5 linked regions of the Oryzias latipes genome follow. The protein of the gene in region 1 interacts with the protein of each later gene in a pairwise test. Links are inferred from orthologs where the notes say so. Each region holds a gene or a part of one and is shown in the gene's direction. Other genes may lie near its edges. The genes, in order: fars2, mid2, rcbtb2, appl1 and agtrap.

Region 1 (4,103 bases):
TGCTGAGGTGGTGTGAACGTAGCTCGAGTGGCAAATTACCATCACAAGTGTAAACAGGAGGTCATGAAGGACTACAGCACCTTCAAACAACAGATATGGGATTCCAAAATAATAAAACAGAAATATAGTCCATAAGAGTCCCAGACAGAATAGATGACTAATAGCTTTTATGTACGTATCCCACATCATGAGTTTCACATGAAGACTTTCCATCTGTCAATCACTCATCCAACACGAGGAGGATGACCTGTGGGGGTCTGAGCTCCTCTTAAGGAACATGTTTAACAACAGTCAAAGGGGGGGCAGAAGATGAATGACAGCAAAATAGCCACCATGAAAGGAGACAGCAGGAGATCAGAGATTATCAGCTCCGTCATGTGAGCTTGAAAAGTATTTTGAAAATGAATTCAATCATAGTCTGACTTATTTTGAAGTGATGTTCGAGGAGAGAGAATGCACTCAAAAGATGAAATAAAGTAGCTTCAGATTATCAGTAAAACGTGCAAAACAGAGTTCAGGTCTGTTTCCATAAACTCAAAACCTTTAAATAAAAAGGCTTCTGCATGATTAAAATTGAGATTAAGGCTTTTCAAAGTCGTTATGATCAACAAACTTTCAAAATAAGAGTCCCAAGAAAACAAAACCAGTCAACAATTTGTCAATAAAAACAAAGTTCTTATGAAATTATGAATGGCATTGATTGTACTTTATCATATTCTGCTATAGCATGGCATTACCAAACTCCATTGCTATTATTACCAACGTGCCTTCAAGTGATCATGAGGGAACACCTTAAAATAAGCTTTTTCATTATAATAACCCTGTATAATATTCCAAAGGGAAGAAATGTAATAATGAATAAGGTTAGTTTTGTAACACATGAACTGGTGCAGCAGCAGTCAGGAGAGTTTCGTAAACTCTGCAGCAGCTCATCAATGATCAAAACACAGGCGTTAGCAGGCACTTTCCTCCTTTGACAGCCGGAGCACAGCGGCCATGAGCCCCGCTGAACCCGGCTTCAGTCCGCCTCTTACCTGTAGTTGTAGGAAGGAAACCTGCTGCTCTCTTTCAGCATCATTCTGTACAAAGACAGCACCTGGGCTCGAGCAGACGCTGCCATGTTCATGCTACCGACGCTGTTCGGTCCCTGCGATGAAGGACCCTTACTTAAGAGCGACCAACTAGCGCCAGTTTAGAAATCCAAAGTCTAGGCTGTTTGTCATTATTTTCGTATGTTACATTATAATAAGTTTGATAAAAGAACGTCATTTATTAAATAACACACAGCATAAATATGCATATTTATTTTTGAAACATGTTCATAATCCAAGAGTCATGCAGGCGCGCTTCCGCATACCTCACAAGAGTTGAAAGCTGAAGTGTGACAGAAGGTGAGTTAGCATTGCTAATTTTAACCTCTAAAATATATTACTTATATAATAAGAAGACCTTTTCTAAGGTGTCGGTACAAAATTCGATATTATAGTGCAGGAATAAGAATCATTAATTGTGAAAATGTGTTGCTTGTCGGGTTTAAAAAGCTCCTTTTGTATTTGTGAGGTTCTGCAGCAGATCATACTTGACAACAGGCAGCTTCAGCTGTTGTCAGGTGTGTGTTTATGTGTGGGTGTGCACGCGCGAACGTGGGTCTTTTTTTAGGTCAGGGATTCTTTAACAGGAAGTGTGTGACCGCACAGAGTCCTGCTCTGGACCCTCCCTGTATGACCCTCTTGATCAGGACTGTCAATCTTTGGTCATTTGTTTATGTTTGGTAGTTTTATAAATACAACACAGCTAATAAGTCAGGGATATTATCATTTACATTCGGTTTCTCCTTTTTGGTTTGAATTTGAATGAAGTACGATAAAGTTACCTTTATTCATTCATCTTCTAAACCCGTTTTGCCCCTTTTGGGGTCACATGGCTGCCAGAGCCTTTCCCGGCCACTCGTGGGCGAAGGCAGGGGACACCCTGGACAGGTTGCCAGGGCCACAAATCACACACCATGCACACTCACATTCACACCTAGAGACATTTTAGAGAAGCTAATGTACCTATGAAGCATGTTTTTGGGTTTTTGGACTGTTGGAGGAAGCTGGAGTCCCCGGAGAAAACCCACACACGCACACACAGGGAGAACATGCAAACTCCACACTAAGTCCCCTTTAATATTACTAATAATGAATGAGATGAAACATCATTTTCATTAGTTTGATATTTATAACCCCAAAATTAAGCCAATAAAAAAGTATTAAATGGTGGGTATTTCCACCATTTGCCACTAGGGGTGTGACTATGGAGAGAAATTAGACTCAGTCGGATTTGTGCGTGCGTAATTCTTGATTTGTGCGTAAATTAGGATTTGTGTATGCATATTCTTGCTTTGTGCGTGCGTAAATTAGGATTTGTGCATAAATTTGGATTTGTGCGTGATTTGTTACTCACATAACACGTTTTGTGTATAAGTTAAAAAAATATAAAATGAAAAAAATACAAAATGCAATTTACGTATGCACAAAATAAGATTACAACAGCTTGAAACTACTTACACACACACATCTTTAAAAAAACACGCACGAATCCCTTGTTACGCACACACAAAGCCAAAGTTACGCACGGATCTACCGTGAGACTGTTTTCACGTCTCACAAATTCGTCCGTAAGTGCTGCGTTTAAATACCAGTGGAATGCTCGGTCATTAGAATTTTCCGATCAGCCTTCCCTTCCCAAACACACCTGCCTTTGATGACTGTCAGGCTTCTGCAGAGCCTGATGATGAGCTTAATCAGGTGTGCATAAGCAGAGCAACATGGAAAACATGCAGGACAGTGTGACTCATGGACCAGGGTTGGGAAACACTGATGTAGTGGTGGGGTACTGTCATCCATTCTCTGTTTCAGCTGGTTCCAGACATCCTCTATGGGGTTCAGGTCAGGGGTCATTGATGGCCATACCATACGACACACTCCTGCTTACTGAAGTCCAGCTGTGACAATTCTAGCACCATGTGGTGGAGTCTTCTCATCCATGAACAGAAAGTTGGGGGATGATAATGTTTCTGTAATGTCCCTGAAGTCTAGGTCATTGTCCAGGTCACATGGTTTTGTGCAAACCTTCACGGTGGTGTCTTGGTGTCAGTGGAGTCCCCTGCAACAGTCGTCTATCATTCCAGTAAAAGTGGTGGAGTTGGTTAGTCTGGAAACCCTGGTACCCCTCACATCTGGTAAACGGCCTGCAGCTGTGTGGTATTTACAAAACTATGTCTGAAGTCAGAAGTCCTTAGGTTCTGGTCATGGTTGTGGTCTGTCAATGACGGGGCTCCACTCCTGTCTGTCACAAACTCTGACAGTAGTTCAGAGTGAAAATCTGCTGAAGACACTTTGAGATTCACCAAGTTCACCTGCAACAGCTGACTTTCTCCTACCAGCCTGAAGGTGCTGTGGACAGGCAGTGCTGCTCAGACATTGAGTGACATCGTGTTTATAGCTGTTTGAATGATGAACCTGAAATCATTTACTGACTAAATCAGCTTTTTATACCTACAGAATGTTGACATTGATGCCTCATTGAAAATACTTTTCTTTCAGATACTTTTTTTGGCTTTCGCTCCAGTAAGTGACACATACTGTACACATGAGACCATGATATGGAAAACACTAAATGAGTTGTGTCTATAATCACCCCAATACAATTACCGCCCTATCCCCAATATCCCTAACTTATTGAGTAGTGTACTTCTTAAGGAAAACTTAAATAGGATAAAAGAATATTGTAAACCACATTTCATGCTGTTTTTCTTTTTGGATTAGTGTTTGATACTTGACTTTAGGGCTGGAAAGACTCCTATTGGGGTCCTGTTGACTCATTTCATTAGTTCTGCCTTTAGTTTTATCAAGTTGGGAGGAAATAGCTCCTCCCACATGTCCAAATATGGTTGTTTCTGTCTTTTCAAGCATTAGCATTAAAATAAATTCTTCGTTTTGTGACATCATTGTGGCCGCGCTCGGTCTTCTGCAGAGTCTTTTAGAAGTATTTCTGCGCATTTGTGTGCATGTGTGTTTGGACAGTATGCTCCTCTGCAGTGGATGTCTAAAAGGTCAGAT
Region 2 (4,277 bases), on another chromosome or scaffold:
TTAAAGTCTTGTTGTTCAGAAGAAGTTTTCACCACCCTGCTGTAAGCACCTTCAGTTATATAACCTCCATTGTCATAATAAGTTGCCATTATATTTTTTCCCATTTTTCCAGAGAAGGATTAGCCAGTTTAACATTTGTTTTTTTTCACATACCATTCATCACAAGCAAAATGAACAACATATTAATATTTAGAAATTATAAAAATACAGTTTGAATTAATATGTAAACCAACCTGTGTGTTAGACTATAAAACAAAGCATTAATGTGTCTAGATGGAAGGTAGCCGGTGTTAGAGGATGCAGACAGGGTTAGATGGAGGAAGCTTATTCGCTGTGGCGACCCCTGAAGGGAAGGAAAAGAAGAAGAATTTGGATGGGATTTTAAAAAAACAAATTGTCCACCCAAAGCTCTTGTGGTCTAGAGAAATATTTCATGAGGATGTTTTTCATATTCTGACACAGCTTTGATGTTAGTCACACTGCAGGATGGTTTACTGCTCTATAAGAGCAGCTCCACATAAATAGATGCAGTATTACAAAATATTTATTTGTGAGTTTGTGGTTTTGCACAATTTGCACACTTTTATTCAACCTTAAATAAGGGATTGAAAAACTCAATGCATGTTTTGTGTCACAAAAGCTGAGGAGTCCCTGTAAAGCTTCTAATGTTGAGCAAGTCATACTGACAGGCTCCAAATGCTCTGCCCTGGAGTATTTTATAGCTTCATTTTGTGTGTTTATATGTTTACATAAAAAGTTTGCAGGTTACGGAAAAAAATATAAAACAATGGACAATACAGGCTTGTGCTGTTTGCAGCCCTTCAGGCTAATTGCAGTTCTGAAATGCAGTATAACTGTTTTACAGAGAAGGCCTGTGAGACAAAGAAAACTGTATTTTGGCTTGCTTGTGGGGATAAAGTTGCAAGGTTGGCAAGTCTCCCCTGCTAATCCTGTGGCCTCCAGCATGTTGCAAAGATAGTCTGTCCCAAATACATGCAGTAGGTCAGTTTAACATACATTTCTGCTCAGATATTTTGCGGTCTCTGACAATAAATCTGGAGGGAAAATTTGATGTTTCTTTCTTTTTTTTTAAATTATTGCATAAGCAAAAGGTAAATTTTTACCTTTTTAAAAAAGTATTGGAAAATAAAATATTTTGTGAAATTGCTCTTGTAGTATAATTGGTCTCCAGTTGGGAGTTATTTTTACTAAGTGGGCATTGTCTGTGTCATGGCAAGATTGTAATTCATTTTTAATAACGACCATGTGTTTTTTTTTTTAATCCACAATTTGAATAAAATAAATAAATGGGTTAAAAATAAAAGGACATATTTTTAGTATCTATAGTTCTTTGGAAATCTATAAAGACTGCACTGTTGAAAGTGAACAGAAATGACAGCGACGCCGTGAGGCCACGCGGGAGGAGAGCGCGGGTGGAGCAAAAGAGACGTTGTGCGCACAGCTCGGGGTTTTCACAGTGGAGCAGTGGAGTAACCGATCCCAGATGCTGCCGTGAGGGATCGAGAGCTATTCCCGTATCCCTGTGGGTTGCCCACGTGACTCCTCGGGGATTGTTTGGTGTGGGGACCACGTCAGGCGGCAGGGAGAGCGCGCAACGTTGCGCGCAACTGAGTTGGAAAGCAGCACCCAGAAGAGGAAGACGCGCTCTCGCTCCTCCGGCGGCTCGTCATCCAGATGTGTTTTGGGGCGTTGACTCTCGTCTCTCACCCACTCTGATGCTCAGTCGCACCTTTGTCCAAACTTTCCGTCCAGGATCTGTGATCTTCTCCAACTGTTCTTCCACGAGGGTCCATCCAGAGCTGTCACGGGGGGCGGAGGTAAGCTGCGCGTCTTTGTTGTGTTTATTTTTGGTGGAGTAGCCTCAGGACAACGTGCGCTGAAGGATAAGCGCTGACTGAAGCATCCGTCAATGCGCGAAGGGCGCGTTCTGTTCTAATGACCCACATCCATGGAGGAGGGGGGGGGGGGGCAGAATGAAAAACAAGCAGAGCATGACTGACCATCTCATTCTGTTTTAAATGAGGTGTGCCACTTTTACACCACAAGCATTTTTTTTTTGGAGAGTCAGGAAACTGTTTCTACAAGATTTTGTGGGCATTATTTTGAGTTTCTTTTATGCACATTTCATGCACACCACACGTATCCTCTGTGGTATTGCATAGCATTTCAGGAACCAAGGCAGCCACCATAACTGACACCTGATCCGGGAGCCTGATGTCAGTGAGACGCTTTGTTTGAAGAACACTCAAAAAAGCTGGGAATAGCTCCTGGAGTGTGACATGAATACATTTCACAATAGATTACAACTCAGTTAAAAACTGAAATTAATTACCATAATTTTTAGAGTCACATTTTTTGTTATTGACACAATTTTTGTTATGGTTTGGCAAAGGGTGCTACTTATATCAACCTTTTCCTCTTTATTAGGCATTTTTTGGCTGCTGTGACTTAAACTGTGAAAAATGTAGTAAAGTACGTTTTTTGTTTTGTTTTCTCATTCCTAGTGACATTAGGGAGAAAGTGGCACAGCGGCAGAGTGTAAAATGTCAATGGGCAGCAACTGATCAATAATGAATGAGTCAAAACAATGCAGGGCAGGGAAAGAGGGGTCAACTGTCACGAAGTGCTGCTTGTCCCTTTTTTCACCAAGGCTACCCATTGATTCAATAGAAACCAATACATTAGTGACACAATAAAACCAAGTGCTGTGTCTGTTGCTGGGGAATTCAGCGGCACATTTGATGAAGTGGTGTTTCACAGTCTTTTAAAGTGATTTATGGTCCCCTGCACTCTTTTCTTGCTCTGTGGTTAATGCACGATCAAAGTGGCTAATGAGGCAGGTCTCAGTGGATGGGGGCTCGACACCCAAATGCAGTCGAGCTAGTCGTGAGAGTATAGCTGACACCCTCATTCATCATGGTTCTACAGGCCTGCTCTTTCCAATTTATCTGCTTTTTTTTCCTTCCCCCTTTACGCTCTTAGATGGTAATTATTATGATGTTTTAATGATGACAACAGTAGTCACTTTTTTGTGACAGGGACAGGGGTGTCTGTCAGTTGACACGCAACTAGAATTTTGCAGCTGCAGAGGATTCCATGAATAGAACTGAGAGGTACATGTTAGACTGTGTGTCTTAGCTGGCATTGCTCACACAGAACCAAAAAAGAAAAAAAGAAAAAATTTAATTCTTAAGGAAAAAACAAGTCTTCAAAAAGTACTGTTTTTTTTCTGACTATAAGACGCTCCAGGGTACATGCCACAGCAGCCAAAAAGTGCCTAGAAAAAAAGAAACGATCATATATAAGTCACACTTTTGAGAGAATTTAATTAAACAAAATACAGAAAAGGGATCTTAATCTTGAAAGGCAAATCCTATTTGCAGCAAAATTTCACTGTACTTGTACAATGACAATAAAGCTATAACTTTGATGACTTCTTTTCAATTTTTATAATGGAATGGATAACAGTAATAGTCAAAATATCTGTACACTTCACTACCATAATACATTGATTCCTATTTAGCTTCATGAAACATAGGAGTAGTTTAGAATAGCCCAACATATGAACAATTATTCAGATAACCATATCATAAAGAACATGCTAACAAGTCATTTAAACTCTTTATATTACTTCAAATGACTAAATCCGTTCAATTCTTCATCCTCTGTTTCACTTTGGAACAATTCTGCTTAGCCCGGCGTAAGACTGAATGACTCTTCTTCCTCTCTGATGTTGTCAGTAGCAAATACTGATACACACACCTACAGTGCCTTCTAGCTGTTGTGCATTTTTTCTTTTTTTTAAAAACACATATAAGTCACAACTGAGTATACTTTGCACCCCCGCCCAAATACATGCAAAAAAAATGCGATTTATACTCCAAAAATAGGGTATATGTATTATTTATTTTTTAAGATTAAAAAGAAAGAAAAAATTAACTTGTATAGTTGCTAAACTAACTCTTATCACCTTAAATGCCCAATATGATCTTCAGTGGCTATCATTTTGCTATTAATTTTTAATGTTTCAAGCTTTAAATAATGTAAAATGTTCTGGGTAATAATAAAAGCTGTGTTTAGCTGAAAGAGAGCTCAGTCTGTTGTTGATACACAAGAGTGTCATCAGCATAGAAATAGAAATGTTATTTGACTTTTAGTCCTTTTTTTTAATTATAATTTGTGTTTTTAAAACTCACACATAAGAACCTGGATCAATTTTTTCATCAAGTAACTGAAAGTTTCAAATATGCTTCAAA
Region 3 (4,373 bases), on another chromosome or scaffold:
GAAATAGCCTAATTACAAAAAACACACACACACACACACACAAAAACCCTAATAGTTATTTCAAATATTAAATTGAAACACTTTAAACTTAACCTTAGAAATGTAACATTACTTTTCTAAGTAAGTCAAGACTGTTTTCCTTTACAGAAAATATTCATGGAAACTGTGCCACATCATGGGTCTTGTAAAGACAGACATTTCTCAGAATTCACTGTCCAGGGCTCCACCTAATGGAACTTATTCATGACTGCGTTTTAGGGGAAACCAACAAACAAATAAACTACCTTTAAAACAGTAGCCTATAGATAAAATTCCACAATATAACAAGTGTCAGCCTATTGGATATCAAGAATAAGATAAATATTCTCTTTTACTTATATTTAAATTGATATTTTTTTTAAATAAGGCCAAAAATATAAAAATAATCAGGTTGTTTTTGCACTCATTTGTCTGATTGACTCTTGTACACCACAGGACGCATCATTATTGAGATAAAAATGAAAACAAATGAATGTTTTACTGCAGGTCTGACACTACAAATCAAAATAGGGATTTAAAACTTAAAAATGAAGAGAGTTAAGTTGGTCTGAAAATAATCCCAATTTAATAACCTTTGTACAGTCTGGAACAGGCACAGTGGAAGGCTCTGGCTCAAATCCTGGCTGGGACCTTTCTGTGTGAAGTTTGAGTGTTCTCCCCGTGCATGCAGGGGTTCTCTCTGGGCACTTCCTCAAAGTGTCCCTTAGTGTGCATGTATGAGTGTGTGTTGGAGTGATTGTGGCCCTGTGACAGACAAGCGACCTGTCTGGGGCGTACCCCACCTTCGCCCTGGGACAGACTGCGGCGACCCCATGACCCCGAAAGCAATAGAGTGGGTTGAGAAAATGAAAACTGGAATAAACTGAATGATTGTGTTAGTACAAATTAGATATTCCCACACACTTTTGATCACATCTATAAAAAACTAAATGTAAAGTATTGATTACATTTTGATGACTTGTACAGCAAATGGTCAGCTTTAATGAGGGTAGTTCTGCTGAACTTTACACCCAAGTTTTATTCCCCACTGTCACCCCTTTACGTAGCCCTGGACATTACGTTAAAAATAAGTAAATAAATAGTTTCCTCAAATTAGCAATTTGTGCACACAGTTTGCCAATTTGTAGCCACAAATTAAAATTTTAGTAGCATTTGTGTGCATTGCTTTTTCACAGATATTCCCCCTTTTGAGATAATCTGTTAGGCAATTACATAAAATGGTATTAAAACACAGGTATATTATTTTTGGCCTTTTTGAAATAGTCTGGACCAAACTGAGCAACTGCAGACAATTAATTTGTCTTTTTTATATTGTTTCTGAAGACAAACCATTTTTATGAATAAAATGAAGATCGTAATTTTTTAAGCACAAACTATTACTGGATTTCGTTAAATATGTCCGACTCGTTATTTCAAAACTTCAAATGTGCTTGCAGTTCACCACATTAGCCCTGAATTTCTAAAAATTCCTACTTTCGTAAACGCACCATCCGGCAATGGGAAGTGAACTGACGTTTGTGTGTGTTTTTTTTTCCCAAGCCGTGATGTAGCCTTCAAAGCTAGCTCCTGCAAGGTACAAGCAAAGCTACCCGACCAATGTCCCGCTGCAGATGTCCTTTTTGTAAAAAAAAAAAAAAAAAATGTTTTATTGATTACTATTAAATAGTAAAAAGACCATTACAGACGGAGCTCCAGCTTGGACAACAACAACAAGGTAACGTCAACAGTTTGAGCTATTAGCTGTCCTGTCTTACGCTAATCACCTGTACATTGTTTTTCGTTTGTTTTAAGTAGACTTCAGATTTTTTAATACATATTTGTTTAGGTTGTAGGCGGTGTGAGTTAGATTTATAAAACTAAAAATAACTGAATTGTTTGGACTGGAAGCGATAGTTTAGGAAGGAGTTCATCATGCTAACTAACTACTGCAACTTCCTATCATCGTCGCCCAGCCAGGTGACAGCAGGAGTTAGTTTCATTTACAACATTAGATTTTGCATACCTCTGGAGTTTAATAAAACATAGGCAAACGCTAGTTCGACCTATATTTGCATGTCTCTTATATCCAGTCTAAGGTAGTAGAAAACGGTGCAGAATTTATATTATTATTTCAATCTGAAGTGGGTGAGGTTAAAGCAAGGGGGCATACAGTGTTTTTTTTGTTTGTTTTTTACTATAATGTATTAAAAGTTGCATGAAAACACACTAAATTGCAGACTGAATAGATTGGTACGTGTTGATTTTTTTATTCTTTAATGTGAGCTTGTAGATTTTATTATATATACACATAAGCTTGGATTTGGTCAAAGTTTTATTACAAAAACAAAAATTGAGTTAAAAAAAACAATACATGTGACTTTTTCTTAAATCAAAAGGAACATTTAAAAGTTTTTCTTTCAGATTTTAGTGTAAGAACTTTAAAATTCAGCATAATGTAATGAAAGTTTGTCATTTGTTTCTGTTTGGTCACAATTATGTGAAAAATGTTGCCAAACAGCCCAAAAAAAAAGTTTTAAAAGGGAAACGTGAACAATTCAGCAATAGTTCTTGGGGTTTTGTGGCATTTTGAATCAAATTATACACTTGTGAGCTTAAATTTAAATATTTTAGTATTTTGGTTGTGAGACCTTGCCTTTAAAAGTAAGTATTAAAATGAGATATGCTAATGTGTCGAGCTGTTTTTTTGTTTAATCAACAAAATAAATGTTATGAATTTTAAAAACAAAAATACCAGGGACTTGTTTGTGTGCATAGAACAGTTTTCTTGTTTTGTTTTTTTTAACCAAATTAGAGCAGAAATGAAGTGTAAACATTGTGAAATCAAAATATTCTAATAAAATAGAAATTCCTCAAAGCTTCTTAGATGTAAAATGTTAAAAAATATTGCTGGACGTGCACTCCAACACATTTGAATCCGCTTTTTGGTTCTGATTGATCAAAAACGGTCTGTTTTTGTCTGCTACAGACATAACACAATGGATAGTTTGGGACTGACTGCAACAAAATAAACAAAATATTGACATATTACATTCGTTTTTCAGATCTAAGTGAACCTCTTACGTTTTTATATCATGATGGAAGTTTGTTAAGAGTCAAAAAATGAAAAGTTGTGACTTTTCTGTTATTGGCCTTCCCTGATCCAAGTTTTGTGTCAAATTTTCAAGTTAATACCTAATATGTGGATTTATGTGATAGAAATAAACCACAATACACATTTGGAAGCTCCGCACACTGTTGTCATGTGCTATTCTTCAACACTTTCCCCAGCTTACTGTGGTTTTGGTTTAATTGTGTTTTCTTCTCTCTTCTTAGCTGAGTATTATGCTGGACGTGGGGAAGTGGCCTGTGTTTGCACTCCTTCCTCCAGAGGAGCTACGGCTTATCCGGCAAGCTTGTGTCTTTGGCAGTGCTGCTAACGAAGCTCTTTATGTCACCGTTAACGATGAGGTAACCTTTGGGCTTTAAGCAGGACAGCCTTAATCAGCTGGTTTGAATGGAGGTGTGCGACCAGCCTTCAAAGTGTTGATACTCTTTTATTTGATCAGTTCGTGTTGAGACTTTAATAAAACGAATGCTTCAGGCTTCCCAGTCTCAGGTGATATAATGAGAGTTCACAGCACAGAGATAAGCAGATAGAATGAGGCTATCTTTAGCCATATCGGCCTAATACCCGAGCAACTTCTATTTTTATTCAGTGCAAAGGGGCCGAACTACTTGATGTGTTCATGCCATCTTAGTTATCCATCTGATTGTGCTTTTGTGCAATTGTGTGGGGAATATGAAAGCCATTTTTAGCAAATCTTTAAGCAACTGCAACATTTATTTGTTATATTTCAGTAGAATGTTGTTTTGGGAAGATTTCTTTTTACCATTTAATACATTGTTCCTATCCAGAATGTCATAAATGTGTTGAAATAAGAGATTATAAATAAAGTCATTAAAGAAATTTGACGAAAGGCTTGAATTTTAAGGGGGAAAAAAGTCTAAGTTGATCAACACTTTGAGGATAAAAAGGTCAAATTGAAGTGTTTTTTAAAGATCCATCAAATGAAAGTTATGTTTTTGGTCGTTGGTTTCCGATGATGGTAGTGATAAAAAAAAAATTGAGCTTAAAAATCCAATTCAGAGTATTTCTTGATTCAAATTGTCGTGAATCAGGAGCAGACAAAAGAGCCTATTTGTGATGTAGAAAATACCCAAGGTCCTCTGCTCTGAGCTCTCAGCAATGGGGAGAGGAAGTGGGGCGGGGTTGCTTTGCGCCAACAGTTCCCTCCCACAAATCAGAGGGGAATTTGTAATGAACTACTGCACAAAATATTTCCTATAAAAATAAC
Region 4 (3,698 bases), on another chromosome or scaffold:
CATTAAATGTATTTAAGACATGATTAAACATCTGCTGTTTATACAGTAAAGCATTCATAGCAGCTGAATGGTGTCTTGCTTTCATAATTATTGTAACAATAAGAGAAACTCTTCATATTTTGTGTTTAGATTAGGAAAATGAAGTTTGTGGCTTTTTATCTGTGAAGCATAAATTCCACTTTGTTTTAGTTTTTTGGATATAAGTGTTTTTTGTTTCCTTCTGCAGATCACGACACCGCCATCAACCGGTACAGCCGTCTGTCCAAGAGGAGAGACAACGACAAGGTAACCAGCTCTGACGCTGAAACGCTCCTCAAATCAACCTTTGGGTCGATGATGAGAACCTGGGGCTTGAAAAGCTTTCATGAAAACAGGAAGTTTCTCATTTGACTAAAAGATACAAAAGAGCATCTCAACGGTTTAGGGGTTTTTGGTGAGTTTGGATGATTTCGACTCACAGATATTTTTGTCAGAGGTGTGGACTCCAGTCACAAATGATGACTTTAGACTTGACCAAATAGAGAAAGACTTGCAACTGGACTTGGATTTTAACAGCAGTAACTCGTGACTTCACTTGGACTTGAACCTTCTGACTGGAAAAGACTTGTTACTTTCCCCACCAGTCGAAGCTTAAAAAGTTTGGCCCCACGGACCGCTGTCTTTGTGTTTGGGTGCATCTGTGTGTGCTGTCCATCCAACCAATTAGGTCCACATTATTTTGATCCAACGCCATCCAACCCATCAAACTGCAGGACGACCAACGAAGACGAAGTGTCAAACAGGGCGCCGGTTTCTGTTCGCCAAAAGGATTCCTGCGGTTATTACGTTTAGGAATAAAGATGATGAGAAGATAACAGACTGAGGCTCAACGATGGTCAACGTCGTCCATCACTCCAGGTTTGCTCAAAGATCAGTAAATCCTGAATGGAAGCTAACGCTAGCTTAAGGGCTATGTAGCTGCTAGCTGCAGTTAAATCAATGAGACGGAAAACTCGCTGTTGAGACTAAAGTGCAAACATGGTAATCCGGGTTTTATTGAAGAAATGGTTTGGGACTTTTGAAGTGGGATTACATGAGCTAAAGAGGAATATTGTTGATAAAGTTTCTATTACTCTGTTGTTAAAAGGACTTGAAACATTCAACAGTAGGACTTGGACTTGAGACTCGACTCTGGACTTGAGGACAAAGTCTTGTTACTTGCATGTGACTTTCAGATCAATGACTTGATGCCACCTCTGCTCTTTAGCTTCAGTCCGAGTCCTCTGTGGACGTGACGGCGTTTCTCCCTAACAGCTGACGTTCATTTATGGTGGATGGTTTCCTTTCTCCATTAAAGTCCACTTTCACTGAGGCACGACTGCTTTAGCTAAATGTCTGTGGAGCCGGAACGGCATCGGACCGCGTCAGAGCAGAACCGGACCAAGCGGTAACACCTGCTGGTGCGGTCGTGCACCGTCCGTCTGCTACAGGTGCGGGCGGAGGCGGTGGAGGACGTCTACACGTCGCGGAAGAAGCAGCACCAGACCATGATGCACTACTTCTGCTCCCTGAACACGCTGCAGTACAAGAAGAAGACGGCTCTGCTGGAGCCGCTCCTCGGCTACATGCAAGCTCAGGTAGAGGTGCTCGCTCGGGGGGGCGGGGTTCATCTGATGACCTCGCTCTGACGCCACGCATTCGTCTGTGGTGGAGCGTCTAAAGTGACTGCCGCCCGCTGAAGAATGGTTGAGTGTGAAAGAAATTAAGAAGGACTATTTGATGAAGCTTTTTGATGCAAAACCTGATAGAAAGTGGATAAAACATCTGGATCAGCCTTCTAATGAAGTTTTAGTTTGTTCTTAGGAATTCAATGTTTGAAGAAAATGCTATGAATGAGTTCTAAAGGTGAAAAAAGTAACAAATACATGAGTAGAGATGTTCTGAAACATTCTGCTGTTGCATTGGTGTCTCCCTGTTTGGAGGGAGCCTGCCTCCTCCTGCATCCAGCTGTGGTCCGTCCTGCTCCTCATCCCGGATCTGCTGTCCTTTTCAGATCAGTTTTTTCAAGCTGGGCTCCGAAAACCTCAGCCAGCAGTGGGAGGACTTTCTGGGAACCATAGGAACCAGCGTCCAGAAGTAAGTGCGATCTTCCTCTCGGAACACTCCTCCTCCCTGAGACCAAGGTGACGGGCAGTTTGTGCTTTCATGGGCAGCGTGCGGCGGGAAATGGAGGAGGAGGTGGGGCAGATGCAGCAGACCATTCAGCAGATGGAGCGATCATGTGACCCCCTGTATGCGCCCTGTGACCCAGACCCCGCCCACTCACCCGTTTGCCGAAACCTGACCAGGAAGCAGGGCTACCTGTACATCCGCAAGTAAGACGCCGTTCAGCTCGGCTTTCTTTTAGAAGAGCAGGAACCTCTTTGGATTGGTTCTCGCTCGTGTTCTTTCCTTCTGTGTTTAAACTGTTTCCCTTCCAGTCTTTTTTACAATCTTTGTTTCGGTTCTGGTGTCAGCCGTCGACCCAAAACCTCAATTATAAATCCAAAAATAACAAAAACAGGATAACTGTTACATCCGTGCTTTAAGCCTTAGGTTTGATTGGAAAACCTGTTTTACATGAACGAGATTCTACACAAAAAGAGCGTCGTGGATTGGTTTATCAGTTCAGAGCTAGGAATTTCAATTTAGTTATCAATTAACCTGAGATTATGAACCATTATGAATTTAACAAGACATTGGGGGACTTTGGAGAAAAGCCCAAATTCAGCAGAGCGTACCTGTGGTGACCTCAGGCATCAGATACCTGCAGCACGGAGGGGAAAGCTCCTGCCAGAGCTGCAGCTGCGTGTGTCAGCTGGAATCTTGGTTAGTGAGAGAACGCTGGTTCTGTCTTCAGTAAAACGGGCCTGGTGTCGTCGTCCTGGGAGCGTCAGTACTTCTTCACGCAGGGCGGTAACCTCATGCAGCAGGGCCGGGCTGAGGTGGCGGGCGGGTTGGTCACCGATCTGGACAACTGCTCCGTCATGGCCGTCGACAGCGACGACCGCCGCTTCTGCTTCCAAGTCACGTCGTTTGACGGCAAAAAGTGAGCGGACGACTTTTGAAAAGCTTTGCGGGCCGTTCTGCTGCAGGTTTGAGCGTTTCCGTCTGTGTCCCTGCAGAGTGGTGACGCTGCAGGCGGAGAGCAGGAGGGACTGCGAGGAGGTAAGAAGCCGCTCCCTCCTCTGCTCTGTGGTTTTCTGGATGCTTCCTCACGCCCCGTCTCTGCTGCTTCCTCCAACAGTGGGTCGCCACCATCAACAACATCTCCAAGAGGATCTACCTCAGCGAAAACGCAGAGGTCAGAGTTCAGCTGTTTGCCGTCAGGTTGCCTCTGTGAAGCCTGAACTGTGTTCTGAACAGCAGCGGGTCCTCCGGCTGAAGCTCTGATGGGCAGAGCTGACTCTGCTCAGCAATTGTAGAAAAAACTGTTTTTCTGGCAGGAGGTGGCGGCCAGAGTGAACCAAACGGCCCTGGAGGCGGTGACGCCGTCCCCGTCTTTCCAGCAGAGACACGAGAGCATGCGGCCCAGCAGGTGAGACGGGAGGGTTTGTTTAGGGGCAAAACGGGCCTCCGTTGAAGTTCTTTCAACGTTGTGAAAGCTTCAGAGCTGTAGAAAAAACCCATCGGCGGCGACCCGGCCTGACCCACTCACCTGACCTTCTGTCTGCAGTAAA
Region 5 (3,257 bases), on another chromosome or scaffold:
CATCCATGAAGAACGCGGGCAGGAGGCTCCGCCTTTGTTCATACAGACACGTAACGTTACGCAAACAAAACATGTAGTGATATTCATGGAAATCTAACGGTGCACGTTCATGTTTGGTGTTACAGAGTGAAGGAGAACAGTAACAACCCCCCCCCCCCAACACAAAATCCTCCGGCGGGCGTCTATGTCGCGCACTCAAGAACGCACCCAGCTTGTAATGGAAATGAATACAATGGAAATTAATGATTAGAACGCAGTAAATTTGTCGTATTTCCTCGCGAGAAGGAAATTTCTGTTGTAGAATGAGGATGTGTGTGCTGCTGAAACCTCATGTGTGTGTGTGTGTGTGTGTGTGTGTGTGTGTGTGTGAGTAGAGTGAGCGCGTGCAGCGTAGAGGGAGTGAAGGAAAACAGAAATGAAAGGTTCCCCCCAGAAACCCTTGAAGTCTGAACACAGGACTAGAAAAAGTAAATTATCAGCAAAGATGAACGTGTTTAATTATAGTTCCAATCATCATATGCAGAACTTTCAGAAAAAAAATAATAAAAACTTTCAAATTAAAAAAAGGTGCTGTGATGAGGTCATCACCGCGGTGATGAGGTTATCGTCACACCCCTACCTGAGACCTTTGTAGACGCCAACAGCAATGCAAACGCAGCAGCTTAGTTTGGTCAGAATGTGGTGAAAAGTCCGTCTTCTGCCTGTCAGGTGAGCTTTCCTGCGGCTCCTGCGTTTGCCTTGTCGTCTGTTTTCCATGTCTTTGTTTGGCTGTCATGCTGTTTCCTGTGTTTCTGCACGTTTTGATGGTTTGTTTCTGTTCTTTCTCCTCCACCGCTTTCCCTCGAACCCTCAGATTTAGAGACCTCAGTGGACAGTCGCTGCACTACGGACAGTGCCGACAGTGCCTTTTTTGGCCGCCGTTATTGATCGCCGGCTTCCCCCTTTCTATCAGTTCCCTCCCCGGGTCGTCCTCTTCGGTCCTGCTTCAGCCCGGAAGTAAGCTTTGTGATCAGACTGCAGGACAAACGGGAGAAAGATGCTTTTCTTTCCCTTCTGTCGTGTTGAAGTTCTGATCCATCCCTTCTGTGAATGTTCTGGCTGAGCTGCACCAACAGAGGTTCTCCTCTGTAGAGAGTCTGTGTTGGGACTGCATGTTGGCACCAGGGGGGCTGCAGCACTAAATGAGCTGCTGAGCTGAGACGGCCGTCCTGCCGTCATGCGGCGTCGGCTCATTCGGGAGCACGACGTGGTTTAAAGAAGCAAAACCAACATTTCGTTTCCGTGAGGCCCTTCTCACCTGTCCTCATTACCGTTTTAGGCTCTCTGTTGGTGTTTATGTCTGCAAGTATTACTGATATTTTATTCAGAGATGGTCTCCAGACGCCTCATTTGTGTTCGTGTGTTGTGTGTTTTTGGGTTTCCTTGTATGTACGACTCTGAAATGAGCCTAATTAAAATCCAAATAAGGTTGGCTCATAATTGAAAGTTAATGGGAAGCAGTTGCATGCGCATAAATGACTCAGAAACCCTTCAAACATGCAGCATTCATATTCTGAGCAGAGTCTCAGGTGTTCATGCAGCTCTGGAACGTCCGCCACAAAAACAGAGTTTATTAGAAGGAGCTGCATTTCCAGAAGAAACAGCAGGGTTGATGCTATACTGCTGAATGAAAATGAAACTTAAAGAATAACATTTGTCAAAAAACAAAAAAAGAGTAAATAAATAAATGATCAAAGTTGATCATAAATAAAGTGAAAACAGCACAATAACAAAAAAATATTTGTGAAAAATGCCAGAGCCGGGTATCGAACCAGCGAGCTTCTGCTCCAAGGATTCCCCTTTATTTCAATGGAGGCAGAAATCCTGGAATATCTGGAAAAGTTCAAGGATTTGAAGGAGCAAAAATCACAGCTGGAAAAAGATGAAATAGCTGAACATTTGAATAGTTGAATGGTTAAAATAGATGAAAAATTGTAGAAAGATACTAGAATAAAGAAAGAGAAGTCTGTGGGAGGAAGTGGAATTAAAAATGATGAAACTCTAGCAAAAATGTTTCTAGATTTCAGCAAAAAGCCGGAGTCCAAAGACCAGATTGTTTGAATGAGGGTAATATTTCCAAATAACGCCTTTTCGCTGCCTTGTTGCTGCTTCCCTGCAGGTTTTCCCTCGGTATCACGGAACAGAGAAGCCTATCAGTCCATCGACCAGCAGGACGAGTCGTCCAGCCCACCAAACCCCTTCAACCAGGCCCAGGACACCACCCGACCAGGAGTCCGCACGTACTGAGCGCCGCCGGACGCCAACCGCGCAGCCTTCTCTCTGACTTTATATGCAGCGACGGGCGACGAATGTGTGCAAAACCCCACAAATCCTTCTGGTGAATAAATACTTGGGGTGAACTCTTCATCTTCCAGTGAATGTCGTGTTTTCAGGAGGAAATCTGAACCTCCTGCTGCTCGTCTGCTGTTACCAACGCGATTCCAGTCAAGCTGTCAAGTAGATTATTTTTTACGTGGCATTTACAGACGGTTACAGACAGTTCTGTGAGTTATAGTCGTACCTTTTTGCAGTATTTTATGACTATTTTGCAGAAACTCTTTGCTTTAACAAACTGAAATAAATGTTTGACCGAAAACTCAGCGTTTGGGGTTTGAATCCTTGGACCAGAACGGAAACACTTCAGTAATGTTGATGCTGCACAAACACATCTGCCGCTCTGCACATCCCAACACAGAAACACTCCATTTCCCAGCGTGCTTAGCGTCTCAGCGAATAACTCATCCGTTTTTCTCAATGGAGCCGTTTGACAACATTTACGGCTTTTATTCTGTGAAACCTGGAGATTCCTGCTTTTCGTTTTGGTTTTTCTTTCTTTTATTATTTTTCAAAACAAATGTTTATATTTTGAGTAAATGATTTGGCTTAGATATTCTTTATTTACTACATTTTTGACATTTCTCTCTTTCCAAAACTCCGACATGACGGCGGTTTTTGATAATGTAACCTTTAAACCTTTATGAAGATCATTTAGGATTTGATCTAGTTTGAATTTAGCAGTTTTTAGGATGTTTGCAGCTCTCATTATTCTGTTGGTTTAAAACATTTTTGACATTTTAAAAAAAATCATATTTTAGCCTTTTTTAAACCAAATTTGAGTGTAAATTATCTTCACCTTTTTAGAGTTTTTTTTTAAGGCAGATGTAGAATTCAGTTTGTAGGTTTAAAGGTTTATGAACTGCTTCTTCTTTGTAAATGTC

The links.
Region 2: the proteins of fars2 (region 1) and mid2 interact in binary tests that used the Homo sapiens proteins (3 or more experiments, as listed by UniProt). The two-hybrid records come from large-scale screens. The link is inferred for Oryzias latipes from reciprocal best matches to the Homo sapiens genes FARS2 and MID2.
Region 3: the proteins of fars2 (region 1) and rcbtb2 interact in binary tests that used the Homo sapiens proteins (3 or more experiments, as listed by UniProt). The two-hybrid records come from large-scale screens. The link is inferred for Oryzias latipes from reciprocal best matches to the Homo sapiens genes FARS2 and RCBTB2.
Region 4: the proteins of fars2 (region 1) and appl1 interact in binary tests that used the Homo sapiens proteins (3 or more experiments, as listed by UniProt). The two-hybrid records come from large-scale screens. The link is inferred for Oryzias latipes from reciprocal best matches to the Homo sapiens genes FARS2 and APPL1.
Region 5: the proteins of fars2 (region 1) and agtrap interact in binary tests that used the Homo sapiens proteins (3 or more experiments, as listed by UniProt). The two-hybrid records come from large-scale screens. The link is inferred for Oryzias latipes from reciprocal best matches to the Homo sapiens genes FARS2 and AGTRAP.

The regions. Positions count from the first base shown.
Region 1 is NC_019878.2:3,840,839-3,844,941, forward strand, and holds the start of fars2 (phenylalanine--tRNA ligase, mitochondrial), read left to right. Parts: upstream 1-1,303; 5' UTR 1,304-1,391; intron 1,392-4,103. Other genes in the region: lyrm4 (LYR motif-containing protein 4), read right to left, coding at 1,035-1,126. UniProt on the Homo sapiens protein: Is responsible for the charging of tRNA(Phe) with phenylalanine in mitochondrial translation.
Region 2 is NC_019868.2:12,829,999-12,834,275, reverse strand, and holds the start of mid2 (probable E3 ubiquitin-protein ligase MID2), read left to right. Parts: upstream 1-1,464; 5' UTR 1,465-1,838; intron 1,839-4,277. UniProt on the Homo sapiens protein: E3 ubiquitin ligase that plays a role in microtubule stabilization. Mediates the 'Lys-48'-linked polyubiquitination of LRRK2 to drive its localization to microtubules and its proteasomal degradation in neurons.
Region 3 is NC_019871.2:7,144,537-7,148,909, forward strand, and holds the start of rcbtb2 (RCC1 and BTB domain-containing protein 2), read left to right. Parts: upstream 1-1,413; 5' UTR 1,414-1,753; intron 1,754-3,351; 5' UTR 3,352-3,360; coding exon 3,361-3,486; intron 3,487-4,373.
Region 4 is NC_019863.2:32,577,391-32,581,088, reverse strand, and holds part of appl1 (DCC-interacting protein 13-alpha), read left to right. Parts: intron 1-226; coding exon 227-285; intron 286-1,469; coding exon 1,470-1,616; intron 1,617-2,032; coding exon 2,033-2,115; intron 2,116-2,192; coding exon 2,193-2,354; intron 2,355-2,878; coding exon 2,879-3,067; intron 3,068-3,143; coding exon 3,144-3,186; intron 3,187-3,265; coding exon 3,266-3,322; intron 3,323-3,464; coding exon 3,465-3,556; intron 3,557-3,694; coding exon 3,695-3,698. UniProt on the Homo sapiens protein: Multifunctional adapter protein that binds to various membrane receptors, nuclear factors and signaling proteins to regulate many processes, such as cell proliferation, immune response, endosomal trafficking and cell metabolism.
Region 5 is NC_019863.2:32,256,322-32,259,578, reverse strand, and holds the end of agtrap (type-1 angiotensin II receptor-associated protein), read left to right. Parts: intron 1-853; exon of another isoform or gene 854-996; intron 997-2,158; coding exon 2,159-2,286; 3' UTR 2,287-2,639; downstream 2,640-3,257. UniProt on the Homo sapiens protein: Appears to be a negative regulator of type-1 angiotensin II receptor-mediated signaling by regulating receptor internalization as well as mechanism of receptor desensitization such as phosphorylation.